Alligator mississippiensis: one gene and its partner. The protein of the gene in region 2 purifies or fractionates together with the protein of the main gene of each other region. This does not show direct contact. Links are inferred from orthologs where the notes say so. Each region holds a gene or a part of one and is shown on either strand. Other genes may lie near its edges.

Region 1 (6,952 bases), on a different chromosome or scaffold from region 2:
CCCACTCCTGCAGGACAGCAGCACAGGGAGCAGGGCTGTGGGTAGGAGCCATGGGCAAGGGAGCAACATGCAAGGGAATAAGGTGGTCACTGCCTTCCTCAACAAGGGCCAGAGCAAGCAGGACACATGCATGTGTGAGATAAATGCATAACAGACAAATACAAGGTTTATGTCAGCAGTTTAAAACACCTTGTACTGTTACTAAACATTAGTTATCAGATTGGCATCAGCTGGTATGTCAGCTGGTTGATTAATCATTGGCTATCAGTATCAGCCAAGAAAATCTTTAGCTGTGCACCCTTAGTCCAGGTATCCCCCCCAGCACACTGCAGGTTTCAGTCAAGTACAGGCTACTAAAATTTCATTGAACTCATGTTTAGGGTAAAAGGAAAAAAAGTGAAAACACTCCCCTAACCACATTCCTTGGGAGTCCCAAAGCATAGATACAAGCACACATGTGAGCACACCCACCCACTCTGCAACGGGGCATTCTGGGCTGGGTGGTCACTCCTACCACCTGGAGTCAGACCAACAGCACTTCAAAGCCTAAAAGGTAATTGTTCTCCCTCCAGGGCCAAGTCTGTGGACCTCTGACCTATACCAATTGTGAACCAGCTCCTAATCAGTAACCGCTGGGAATGGTTCAATTGTGGATTATACTCTCCTTCCCTGGGCTGGCTGTTAACTCTGGCACCCCTCCACGTGTTATCTACATTGCTCATGCCAACTGATCTAATCAACCCACTTCTTACCTCTCCTCCCCACGTCTCTTTTTTAATACATTCTTCTCTCTGCCATTCCAGTCACAGAGTCTGAGAACAGACTGTTGCCTATGAAAGCTCATGCCGACTCTATCCTAGCATCCACCAAACTAACATGGCTAACAAACACTAGTGAACAACGCAAGCAAAGAAAATAAAGCATCCCTTTATTCATTAATGAAAGGCTTCTTCCTGCTTTCTTTAAGTAAAGGTACCAAACCAACTTCTTAGCCAACCCAGGAGGAGGACAAGAGTTTGCAGAGAGGCTTTGATTCTATTCACTCAAGCAATTATATCATTTTTCAAACAGACTTTACTATCATATGCCTCGTGCCCAAGCTGCCTCAAGCCCTGGGCTGGACCCAGCCCACTAGGAGACCCACAGATCCGACCCAGGGCATGAGGTGAGTTTTGCAGCCACGTTAAGGCAACTCCAAGTAAAAAGCTGGCCTTTCTAACAGGTTAACATATATCAGCACAAATCCACTGCTATGAAACCAACATGAAAAAGATAAAACTTTAAGGTTGCCGATTAATGCACCAGAAAGACATTCCACAATAAATTCAGGAGTGCTGCAATACGCTCCCGCAGATGTAGAGCAGTATTATGGATGCCTGGTCTTACAACTCCATTCAGCTGTATAAGTATACAACTATTGATTCGAAAGTAAAAAGCCAATTTGCTTTAGCTGTTTAACACCTCCCTAAAGGGAATAAGCCCATGTCATCCTGCAAAGTTACAACCAGAGCAAATTTCACAAATCGGTTTCTAGCCAAAGCTTTCCCCCGCCACAACCCATAGCCCCCAGTGTCAAAGTACTGACTCTCCCCAGCACCCTCCGGATCTGCAAAAACAAGTGGCAAGCATTACTTCTCAAAGCCAACAGTTAAAAGCTGGGGTGACCAAGATGCGGCCCACAAAAAACAAAACAAAACGTATCAGCTGTTACTTATGAACTAGGTAGACACCAAGTTTCAAATATAGTCATGATGCATCCTTTCCAAGGCCTCACCTTGTCCCTTCAGGCTCCCATGGAGCAAAACAGATCCCAAATCCAGGGTGCCAAACAGAGCTGGGCTGCCTACACTAGGCACTTTAAGGAAAATTTTTCCAGGTCCAAACCAAACCCGTGAGTCAGTCACAGAGACGCGGAGCGGAAAAATTTGCCAGCGCTTTATTTGTCCATGGGAAATTTTCCATTTCTAAAAATTCATGGTTGCGTCAAACTCATCAGTAACAGCGAATGGATGCCAACGCCGTATTGGGCAAGCTGGGCGGTTTGAAAGCTGCAATTAAGATTTTCCAGGGGATTTTCCCTAGGAAGTGCGAGAGACAGTATGTAACGTATGTTTTATTGATTTGTAAACAGGAGAGTAAGTACACTCGCATAACAGCCCAAACCAAAACCCAAATTATGAATCCACTTAATTGGCTGCGCAGGTCACATCAAAACCAAAGCACGGCGCGTCACGCACGCTTCCTCGGGTGTGTTAAAATCAGCGTGTCAGGAGTCCTCCGTGCCCTCGCTTCGCGCTTTGTTTTTCTTAAATTTAAACAACCCAGGTCAGGGAAGGACCCGCGATTTCCCCTCTGGACCTTTTGACACGGATCCCAATAAAAACAACTTCTTCCCACCCAAAGCTTTGAACATAACATTTAAACCACATGAAGCGTGCTGCATTCACGTTTTTTTTTCCCCCCCAATCGAATATTTCGGTTCAAATACTTGTGTCTATTTGAACGTAAAATTAACCCGAGGGGTACTTTTTTTAGTTCGGTTGACTAAAAAAAGTCAAATTAAAGGTGCTAAATCGGATCGCGCTTTATTTAGGGCACTGGACAGCTTCCCAAGTCCATTTTTTGGGGGAAACCCACGGGTCAGTCCACAAACATGCAGGCCCCAACTCCAGGGGCTTCACACGCTGCCACATCCTGCGGTGGGCGCGCAGGCCCGAGCCCGGAGACTTGTACCTACATTTGCATATTGATTTTTTTTTTAATTGTAATTTTAATCTCCATTTTTTTTTATTTTTTTTTTTTGCATAACTCCCGTGGGTCCCCTAACAGTGACCCCCTCCCCACCCCGCCGCACTTACGCAGCTCGTTGCCCTCGCTGAGGAGGTCGGCCTGGCGCAGGAGCTGCTCCAGCAGATTGCGCAGGTTCATCACGGCGGTCTCCATGCTCCCGCGGGCCGACGCCGGCTCCGCACGGCCGCACCCGCAACGTCCGGCACCAGCCCGCGCGCCGCCCCGCCCACGGTTTGAATCCGCGCCGGGCACCAATCACAGCGCCGCTCCCGGCGTCCCCTGCCGCTCATTGGTTACCTCCCCCGAACGCAACGGCGTCAAAAGGAGACGCCACGTCTAGTACGGGCATGAGGGGCTTCACCCATCTTTATAAGGAAACGCGCTGAAGTCAAGCTGGGCGCCATCTTTGCTAAGGGCAGCTCAGTCCCGAGCCGCCTTCCGCCGCGCAAAGGAGAAGCCGCTCCGCACCGCACCACGCTGCGCAGTGATTGTGCCGTGATCGGCGCTGTTTAAAAAAAAAAAACACGACATCAGCTGGATTTAATTCATTTGCATCACACACACACTCCTCACTTACCTAGGGCTGGCCCCATTTTACAGCATTTGCAAGTGAGGGATAGAAATATGAAGGTTTCTGTCCGTTATCCAGGTTGGGTTTTTTGCAAAAACCTGGTTGGTCTCAGAAAACACCTCATCTCCAGGACAGCTCCGGATCGCTTTAGGTCTCTTGTGCGCGCTTCGTGATCCAGTTACGACACGTTATTTCAGATATGTTAACGCCCTGTCATCACCACGGGCAACTGGTGCCTTCTCCTGCGGGACACCAAGGCCACACGGCTAACCGGGGGGGGGGGGGTCGGTTCACCTCCTGGCCAATCACCAACCAGACAAGGAGGAAGCCCCCAGTGCCCAGTCCCCCACAGGGCAGGGTGTAGCACTGGTTTCCGTGGCACACCCCGCTTTCGCCCCTCCAAAGAGCCCGCCCCCCGCGCAGGCCTCCAGGTCCTTGGGGGCCTGCCCTGGCTGTGGGCAGGGGCATTGTTTCCCGGTGGAGAAGGGCCAGCTTTTCCCCGTGCTCAGGGCTGGAAGGGAAGGCTGCTGGCCCTGGAGCGAGGGCTTGGGAGACCTGCCTTGAGCAAATCCCTGCGCCCCAGGGGGGTGGCGCCTGGGGCCAGGGCAGGAGGCAAGATGGAGGCAGGCGGGCGGGCAGGGCAGGGCTGCCTGCCCCGTGTCCTCCCTGGTGGTCTAGTGGCTAGGATTTGGCGCTTTCACTGCCGCGGCCTGGGTTCGATTCCCAGCCAGGGAAAGCCGGCTTTTGAATCCCCAGCCCGCAGTGGAGGAGAAAGGGAAGGAGGCCTCCCACTTGGAGGCAGGCTCAGCTTTTGCTGGCCTCCCTGGGACGCCAGCTCCTGGTGCCCTGCTATAGGCCGGCCTGACGCTGAGTGCCAAAAGCTGCTGCCAGGAGTGGGATTTGAACCCACGCCTCCAAAGGGAGACCAGGACCCCCCAGGACGAGGGAAGGGTATGACCTTGAGCCTGGCGCTTTAGACCACTCAGCCATCCTGGCAAGGATGCCCCTGCCTCCCTCCCCTTGCCTGCGACTGTGCTGCATGCCACAGGCGGGGAGTTGGAGTCCCCCTCCTCGCCGGTGTGAACGCCAGAGTCTTTCCCCCTCGGGTGGCAGCACCCCGTGCAGGGGAAGAGCCAGGCCCGAGCCCATGGCACAGGGCAAGAGAGAGCGCTCCTGGCCTCAGCCCAAGCGCTGGCCTGTCCTTCCCTGCTGGTCTAGGAGTAGAAGGGCTACAGCTGCCGTCCAGCTTGAAGCCCCGCCCCTTGACAGAAGGCCCGCCCCTGGCCGCCATCTGTGTAAGGCAAGTGCCGCCCCCGACCCCTGACTTTTGCCACCACAAGTTGCAGCCTGTGCCCCAGAGGCACTCCCGTTGTCCAGCTCAGCCCGCGGAGGCCCCGTGGCCCTTCCCTGGTGGTCTAGTGGTTAGGGTTGGGTGCTCTTATTGCTGTGGCCCAGGTTCAATTCTTGGTCAGGGAAAGCAGGAGAAAGGCAAGGATGCCTATCACTTGTAGGCAGGCTCAGCTCTTCTTGCCATCCCTGGGCCTCAAGGTCCTGGTTGTCCATTAACTCACGTGGTTTAGCAGCTGTCCAGTGTTGCCCTTACTTTTCCTAAGACTCCCCACATATCTAAAAAAAAGGACTTTTTATTTTTGTTGATATGTGTAGCCCGTTGGAGTTCAATCGCAGCCTTGACTTTCCTCGTTCGCTTCTTGCAGGTCCGGACCAGTGCAGAGTACTCCTCCTTTGAGGTGGATCCAGTTCTCCATCCTTTGTAGGTCTGTCTTTTTAGATGCAGGAGGTCCTCTAGTTCCCTGCATTGGCAAGGGGGGCTGCTGTGCCCTTTTGCTGCCTTTCCTACAAGATGGGATAGACATTGCTTGAGCTTCCGGGCTTGCTCCCTTGAGGAGCATGCACCCTTCCTGAACTCCCCTCTCCTTTGGGTCGTGGTCCCTTAGGGCCTCACCAACAAACCTCCTGAGCTTATCAAAGTCAGCTTTCCTGAAGTCAAGGACTTCTTCTTTGCTGACTGATTTGCCAGCTTTACGGTGGATGGTGAAGGTGATCAGCTCGTGGTCGCTGTCTCCCAGCTTCCCTTCTATCGTTAGGGCACTGATTAAGTCATCCCCTGTTGCTAGTATCAGGTCGAGCAGCATTTTGCCTCTCGTCGATCTATAGACTTCTTGAGTCAGATAGAGCTCATCCACACACAGGAGGAAGCTTTGCGGCCATTTGGATGTGGCTGAGTGCTCTTCCTACAAGATGCCTGGGTAGTTGAAGTCTCCCATAAGAACCGTGCACCGGGAGCGTGCAGTCTCGGCCAGTTCCCTGGCAAATTCCTGGTCAAGCTCTTGATCCTGGCTAGGAGATCTGTAGTAGACTCCCACCATTGTGTCCCCCTGTGCCATGTTCGCCACGGATTTTGACCCAGAGAGTCTCCAGTCATCCATCCTGGGTGCCAATGGCAGCTTGCAGGGATGCATAGCTTTCCTCGACATAGAGAGCTACCCCCCCGCCATCCTTTTTGTCCACTCGATCTCTCCTGTACAGGGCATAGCCATCTATATCTGTGGCCCAGTCATAGGTGGAGTCCCACCAGGTCTTGTTATCCCTATGAGATCATAATCCTTTCGGTTTAGTAGGAGGACCAGTTCCCCCTGTTTATTCCCCAAGCTCCTGGCATGGGTGTACAGGCATGCAAGTGCCCCATTGGGGGCCCTTACCTTCCCTATGGCTCGCTCTGGGGCTGGGTAGGGGTAGGTTCCCTTGAGTGCCTTAGCCTTCTGGGTTTGCAAAAGCAGCCCAATGAGCTTGCAGTGGTGGTGGTCCCCTCATCCCCTGGCGGGCTCAGTTTAAAGCCCAGTGGAGCAGGTCAGCCAGTCTGACTGAGAAGAGCCTCCTCCCCAGCGGAGTGAGTTGGAGGCCATCCCTTCCCAGCAGTCCACTGCCTTTGTCACCAAAGAGCAGACTGTGATCGTGGAAGCCAAAGCCTTCCCGATGACACCAGCGCCACAGTCTTTGGTTGACTACCTCGATTCTCCTCTCCCTCCTCAGCCCATAGCCCGAGACTGGGAGAATCGAGGAAGAAGACCGGGAAGATTGAGAAAAAAACCAGGAGGATCGAGGAAGATGGAAATAATTTAACCGGATACGATGTGGCCAATTAAATCCTGGTTGACTGATTATAGGGCCAGAGATGTGGTGAGTGACTGGTGTTTGTGCTGACCGTCCTTCGTGCCATCGAGTAAGTAAGGACAAGTCAGAGGGTTTTGAAAGGGTGGACCACACCAGGCATCTTGAGGGAAGCCGAGCTATTGGTGGGAAGACGATGTCCCAGTGCACTGGCAGCGTAGGATTATCAAAGTCTGGCTGAGAGTTTATTTCAATATCTTTTATTTTATCTCTATTGCCCAAAGCAGAGATGAGAGAGAGCAATGTTACCGAGGGCACACCCATGGGAGTGCAATGTGCCTGGCACAAGGCGTGTTGTAGCCCGCCGTTGGGTAGCCCACTGTTTCCCCACCAGTGTGCCACGGCACAAACATGTGCTGTCAGAAATGAACAGGCGTGCCACTGAATTTTGCCATGGCAATG
Region 2 (7,448 bases):
ATGACCGCATAATCATTCAATGACTTTTCGGGTTGTGGGCGCGTATTCCGGAATTTTTTCCGAAAATAATCCGGTCCTAACTTGAACCGTTTGGACACAGCAGCTTTGAAGGCATTATAGTCATCAGCTGCATCTGGGGGCAGGCTGTTCAGGATCACCGCCATGTCACCTTCTACCAGCGCAGACAGGTACATCATGATCTTTTCCTCCGGCACCTTGCACCGCTGGGCTTGTCTTTCGAAGTTGCTTAGGAACACCGCAGGATCGTCTCCCTCTCGGTAGCGAGCGAAGGCGGAGACATCCAGTTTGGGCTGTTCCCCGGACGCTTGCGGAGGGTTCACGTTTCCCCCAATGGTCTGCAAATGGAGCTGAGCCTCCAGCTTTTGTGCCTCCAACCGGGCTTCCCTTTCCAACCTCCTCTCTTCCAGCTCCATCCTTTTCAATTCTATCTGCTCCTTCTCGCGCTGGCGCTGGGCCTCCAGCTCTAGCCTTTTCAATTCTATCTGCTCCTTCTCACGCTGGGCCTCCAGCTGTTTTTCCTCCAGCCGTCGTTGTTCCTTCTTGTCTTCCCACTCCATCCTTTTCAGCTCTATCTCATGGAGTCTCTGCCGCTCCCTCTCAGAGGGTGATCTCCTGGCGGCCTCCAGGCTGGACGAGCAGGAGGGTGTTCCTGGGTCAGGCTCAGGACTTGCCGAGCATGAACCTGACACTTGTTCTGACTCGCTGGTGCACAAGAGTTTAACCAGCTCATCCTTCTTTAGCCTTCCCATCGCGTGTAGGCCTCTCTCTTTTGCCAGTTCTTTCAGTTCGGGCACAGTCATCCGGACATACTCGTCCGCCATTCTGACTCTCTACCCTATCCAGTCGACCCGATGTCAAATTAGAAATTGTTTGCTCAAGGGATTTCAGTGACTCTATTCCTTTCCCCAAATTATGCCTCTAATACAGCAGGGTATTCGGATCCCACCTCTGCCACCACGTGTGGCGGGCCAGTAGGGGCGCTCCTGCGTTGAGCCGCCCACCTCCCCGCGCCCGACCACCTTCCAGGCTCCGAGTGCCTCCCTTAGGGTGCCTCCCGCCCGGCCGACCCCTTCCCTGGAGCACACCCGCTAGCCTGGGGTCCCGCTGCCACCATCCAAGGCTCTGGACTCACTTCTGGCTCTGCGCGCCTTGGAGAACGCAGGCCTGATCGTCCAATGGGTACTAGATCCAATACAAGCACTTGGGGCACTTCCCCAAATCAGGGGCTTATTAGGAAAGTCTCCCTTAGTCCACAGACCTAAGGGGCCTCCTTGGCATAATTTAGACCCACCCCTCAATAAGTCTCCCACACCGGTCACAAGGAGAACTTTATTGATTACAGGGGGTAGGGCGGAAACAGGGTAAAAGGTAGAGCAGTTTCATAGAAATCTTACAGGAATATCAAAGGAATCCCATTGAGCAAACCAGGGTGGCTGAGGTAGCCGTTTAAACGCATCTGAGTTACTGAAACTAAATATCTAATCGGATCTTTAGTAGCTTACTCACTCTCATCGTCCAGAGGTAGTTGTTGTATCCTCTGAAGGCAGTGCACTCTTGGAGCATGCGGTGATGAGGAGAGAGCCAGGCTCAGATTCACCTGGATGACCGCATGGCTAATGGCTGACTGCCCCTTCTTCTTGGACCGAGCCCTTAAATAACCTCTCTGACCTCAGCAGCCCGGTCCAGTTGAAGCTGCCAATACTGGCCACAAGCCGACCAATCTCCCCAGCATCCCTGGCTACCTGGGCCCCAGGGCCGGGTCTTTCCGCCCTGCCCAGGTGACTAGAGCATCTGCCTCCCAGGCGCCAGGCTTTTGTCACATAGACCAGGTGGGAGATCCCCACCCTGAGGAATGAAACACCAGCCTCCCAGGCTGGCTGAGACAGGTCTCTGCAGAGGGGCACCCACGGTGGCATTTCTGCCACAATGTGTAAGTCTTCACAAGCCCAGGTCTTAATATAAATAAAACAATATGTCTGGGGAGGGAAACCAAAACAAAAAACCCAAACAGCAAAGCAAACAAGCAAAACTGAAGACACAGTAGTAGGAGGCACTTGGATAACCAGGGCCACCTTTTCTATTTCTCTGTTGCTTGACTTGGTCTTTTCAGCACAAAGAAAATCTCCAGTGTTACATTCTGATCTGGTAGCATTTCCACACTTGCATCGGTATAAAAGCAAATGGCCTATCAGATCTTCAGACTCATACAGTTATCAGGTTGTTGCTCCAGAAGTTTGTTTTGGCCCATTATTTTTAGTTTGCTTGTTATTCACTTGAGATGTCTTCATTTATAGAAGGAGCTCTTCTGGGACTCTGGTCACAGGAGCAGCACTCATGCTGGTTTGGAAAAGAATCTTGCAATTGTGGCTGTAGCCATTTCCAAATTGTTCTCTGAGCAAAAACTGTACCCAGAAATTGTGCTAGGGAAGGAGTTTTTTGTGCAGCCAGTGTTCTTTTTCTCCCACTGACACAAATCCCCCCTTTTCTCATTATTTTTGTAGCATTCAGTGCTGAATATGCCAGCAAGGAGCACATTTTGCTAGTATGAGATCCACAAGGAAAAACACATGTGCTTAACATGTTGGTGAATGCAGTAAGGTCACTGATTAGACCTAGAAGTGCAGGTAGCACCTTTTTTTTGCTTTTAATACAGTGAAGATGAGTGTCTTCTTAACATTTGTTTAGCTGTGCTTGATTGACTCCCCTATTAGCATGAGTTATTGAATTCCAGTCTACTTTTATTAAAAAAGGAATATTTCCCATTCTGGTTAGCTGTCCTGAATTTGTCCTATATGAACTGATCTGACTAGCTGAGTTGGCTGTGACAAGTCACTTATGACAGATTAATTTAATTTTAAAATCTCCTGGTTGAGTACTTTGCCATCTTAGCTGCTTTCTGGAACCACTCTCAAGGGATGACTACTACTCAGATATATCAAAAATGCAAGGGCTGTTCTGTAATTGGAATGGCAGCATGTTAATAAGAAACAGAACTTTTCAAGCAAATTGCTTAATCCCTTTGTAGACAGGCATGCACCCAGCGACCTAAATATTGAAATCTGAGTGTTGTGCATTGCAATATTTGAATAAATATTGAAAATAAATTCTATACGATAGGACAGTGGTTGTCAACTGGGGGTACATGTACCCCTAGGGGTACTTAAAAAGGTCCTAGGGGGTACTCAGATCTAACGTTGCTGATAAATGCTGTGTGTATGCACAGTTGCAGTGCATCACGTGTTCAGGAGAGCATCTGGGTCCAGCTGCTAAGTATGAGGGGTGTGCGCAACGGCAGGAGCCGCCACCCCTCTCCCTGGGCCCCTTGAACGAGTCGCTTGTGGCTCTGTCTCTCACACTGCCCCAGCTGTGCAGCCCCAGCCTTACTCCCTCCCTCACCGTGGGGGGCCTTGATTCCTTCCCCTTGCTTAAAAGTGAGAAAAAATATAAAGGGGTACCTGAGCTGGAACTTTGAGAGAGAAGAGGTACGCTTGTTAAAATTGGTTGAAACCCCTGTGATAGGAAAACAGGTGATTTATACACACCCATCGGGGAAGAGAAAACAAAAAACTTGGGCTGAAGTTATGTCACCTGAACTAAAGCAACGTTCCTCAGCCATTATTTCCCCAGGGAGAATGTGACCTTTCTTAGGGAGTGACAGGGCCATCTCTGGTGGGGGGGGGAAGGGGGGCGAATTGGGGTGAAGCCAGGTGGAGTGGCCACGGCAACTCCATGCTGTTGTCAGCTTCATGTCCAGCTTCTCGGCAACACCACTGAATCCGCCGCTGAATGGTGTCCAGCCGCTTGGCACCCTGCCCTGCCCTTGCTGCCAAATCCACCACCGGCTTCCTTGTGTCCGGGGATGGGGCCCCACACCCTGCTTGGGTTGTCTTTGGGGACTGAATGTAGGGAAAAAGGAGGAAAAAAAAATACCATTCCCTTTTTTGGTTGAAGGCCAGTACTGATACTAGGTATGCAGGAGCTGGTGTCACCTTCCTAAATCCCACATGGAAATTCCCTGCTGTGAAAGTCAAATGAATTAGTTGCTCATGACCAAATTATATACAGTTTTAAAATAATAAAATGTGGTTGTGTATATATGTGCACTACCAGATGTTACTGTCTTTATATATAATAAAACAACATATACTTCATTCATATATCATAAATCATATTGTTACAGCAATACACACATTTCACATAATATATAAAGTAATAATAATAATATTTGGTCACACATATACGTATACACGTATATTTACGTGTACGTGTATGCATGCGCACAGAGGCACGTTTCCCAACTGACCACTCTTCTCCCTGTCTCAACGTTTTGTAGGGTTCCCTGCCCTTTGCCGATTGGCTCCCTCAGGGCCCGCGACCAATCAGAATGCTCCCTGGCTCTAACGTCAGGGGAGGATTGTCGGCCGCGAAAGTTTGAAATCTCCGAGCTTCGGCGCGGCGGGAGCAGCCCGGGCCATGGCGGAGGGCGAGCGCGAGCAGGAGCAGGAGCGCGAGCAGGAGCAGGAGCAGGAGCTGGCGGCGGCGGCGGCAAGCGGCAGCGCCGAGCCCGGGGAGCAGCCGGAGGCCGTGCAGCGAGGTAGGGCAGCGCCCGGGCCGGAGCGCCCAGCAGGGCTTTGCCTTCCAGCGGGCTCCCGCAGGGAGGAGGGCCGGGGGCGCCGCCCAGCCGGGGCCCTCCAGCAGCTTTCTCAGCGGCTGCATCCGCGGTCCGGCAGCCTGCTGGCCCGGTCCTGCCTGCCGGTGCGGGCGCAGCGCGATCCGGACCAGCCTGAGCCGGTGCGCGGGGCTGGGTCCCTGGGGCAGCCCCTGAGCCGCGGGCGCTGCTCACTGATCCAGACGGGCTCTGCCCGAGACCCACAGGTGGGATCGTGCAGCTTCAGGGGCCAGAGCTGGCCCGCGGACCATGTGCCTGACGCCTCTGTCTGAGATACACTGCGACAAAGCCTTTCTAGCAGGCCCTAGTCAAAGTGTCCAGCTATGTGAGTTGGCCTAATACAAGAGATCAGATTTACCCAAAGAACTTTGTCTGCCTCTGTCCTGAGACCAACACGGCTACAGCCTACACCCCTGTACCCTAGCAATGCTGCTTGTCGACCCAGCTGATCATGCCGGCGTCTTCAGAGCGAGTGTGGCTGCGTTAAGTTCTTCAGAAGGAAGTCGGCCTGGTTTCCATTCAAACGGGTTTAGCAACATGGAACTGGCTCATAACAATTGCTTGTGGCAAGTTAGGTCGTATGGACCAGACCTCAGGAGGTCGCTTGGTCCAGCCCCCTGCTCAAGGCAGGAACATCCCCCACTAAACCATGCCTGCCCAGTGTCTGACCAGCTCTTGAAACTTGGCTTGACGCGTACAAAGCTCTGCTGTTTACTGGCTTGGGAGGAAAATATCTGCTGCCAGAGGGAGGAAGGAGGTTTTGTTTGTTTCTCTTTTATTTATTTTTTTAAGGAAGTTTCAAAAGCACCTCTTGCTTTTCTGAGAGGTGAGTCGGACTTGGGTGCTCTGTGGCTAGTAAAGTCCTGTGTTCTAATACACGGGCCAGTTCTACGGTAGGCCGGTGCTACCAGGATTTAGCAAAACTTAGTATTTTGTGTTAACGAAGTTAATTTCATGCCTCACTGTTTAAACACTGTAAAACCAAAGGCATAGAAATGGAGTATGCTACTCAAAAAGTAGGTTGACTGACTCACTTTTACTAGCTGGGGCGAGAACCAAAATGATTCATGTGGTAGCTGTCTGCAAAGGACAGGGTAAGAGCTTGTGTTCTCTCTTCCTTTTATGAAACATAAGGCTTGAAAAGATTTTGCCTCTGCTATAGGCTTATCTGTGCTACAGATATTCACAAGGATCTGTTTGGTCTGCACAGAATATCTCGCTGCGCTTGGGTGTGTGGAGGCAGCTGGTTTGCTTGTATTGCAAGAGCCTGTTGGTATGGCATTAGCATCTAGATGAGATCAGCTTTGTTATACCAGGCATTGTAAAAACCCAAGATAAAACATAATCTAAATGGCAAGATAGACAAAGTGTGTAGGGAGAGAGGCATGAATATAGTGACTTACATCAGGTGGTGTGGAAGGTCAGCAGCTAATTTGGAAATGCAACCTAGCTCTCCTGGCTCCAAGTCCAGTGTCCAGTCACTGCCCAGTCACTGCCCCGCTCTTTCTCCCACATGCTTAGTGTATTCTTATGTTGACCATGGTTCAGGTAGGCCTGCTACCATCCCACAGACCTCTTGTAGCATCTGGGATCGGGCATTGCTGCAGAAATGGCTTAGAGCAGTGGAAAGTAGGCAAAACTGCTGGTTTTGCACACAAGTCAGTCTTGCAGCTTCATAGCTGGGCTATTGAAGGGAAGAGGTTTTAGGGAAATCTTTTTGTCAGTCTTGACCTCCCTCATTGTCAGTGCCTAATGAACATTTTTGGGGGAAGAGGGATGGTGACTTCTTTGAGTACTCTGCCCCTCATGTTAAGTGTAATGGCATACAGGTCCCTAGCTGCCTCCAGCAAAATCCTGGAATTGCCAACTCACCATTTCTAATGTTTTTAATATAAAGTGTGTGTGGTGTTGACAGAGGCTTTTAGAGCTATACATATTTTTGCTTTGTTCTGTACTGCTTGTGATCTTAATTTAAAAACATGCTGATAGTGTCTGCATGCAGTGCTTAGGGAGTAGCTTTTTTGGGAGGCGTACATGTTGCTGCAGAAGGGAGTGTGGTAGTGGGAGGCATGCGATGGATTCTGCACTGGCTCCTTGAAACAGTCATGAAAGAATGAATTGTACTTAAGTGAACTGTGCCTTTTTCCCTTTAGGCTCCTGCCAGGAAGAGGATGACAGCTGCAGTGATTATGGGAGTCATGACAAACTAGGCACCGTTTTAGGAAGGTTTGTGCCAAATGGGAATGTGCTTTTCCCAGACACCTTCGAAACAAATCACCTTTTGTTTTATGAGAGATTTAAAGCATATCAAGATTACATCTTGGGTGAGTGACATTTTTGGTATTGAGATTCCTTGTCACAGTCTCTGTAATGACTGACTTTTCCAGGTGATTCAGTTTATATCCATAGATAATATAGCCTTCTTTTTAATAACTTAGTTCTCCAGAGCATGCCGAGTAGAGAGGATCCGGTTTAGTATTGGGGTGAAGGAAAGATCAGTTGATGAGCAAGTTGAGCTGTAAACGGGTCCTAGGCTTTTAATGGCCTCCCATGAAAAATACTATGCCATAATTAAGATTTTGGGCTGGAGAACTAGAAAACTAATGATCTTATGTTACAAGAGAGTGAAACCTGAACAGTTGAAAATAAGATCATTTTAATAAGACTAGTTAAAACAGTACAGTTTTTTCAGCACCTATTTAACACCACCAGCCTACTTGAAGGATGGAGGCTGTGTTGTGAAAGAATTGGTGCTCTT

The links. The genes of interacting proteins can lie anywhere in the genome.
Region 1: the proteins of SHCBP1 (region 2) and RACGAP1 purify together in Homo sapiens (affinity purification with mass spectrometry; 8 studies listed by BioGRID and IntAct, counting the BioPlex papers as one, with this or other methods). This does not show direct contact. The link is inferred for Alligator mississippiensis from reciprocal best matches to the Homo sapiens genes SHCBP1 and RACGAP1.

The regions. Positions count from the first base shown.
Region 1 is NC_081838.1:5,804,014-5,810,965, forward strand, and holds the start of RACGAP1 (rac GTPase-activating protein 1), read right to left. Parts: upstream 3,009-6,952; 5' UTR 2,944-3,008; coding exon 2,859-2,943; intron 1-2,858.
Region 2 is NC_081833.1:55,531,070-55,538,517, forward strand, and holds the start of SHCBP1 (SHC SH2 domain-binding protein 1), read left to right. Parts: upstream 1-4,446; 5' UTR 4,447-4,494; coding exon 4,495-4,615; intron 4,616-6,843; coding exon 6,844-7,014; intron 7,015-7,448. UniProt on the Homo sapiens protein: May play a role in signaling pathways governing cellular proliferation, cell growth and differentiation. May be a component of a novel signaling pathway downstream of Shc. Acts as a positive regulator of FGF signaling in neural progenitor cells.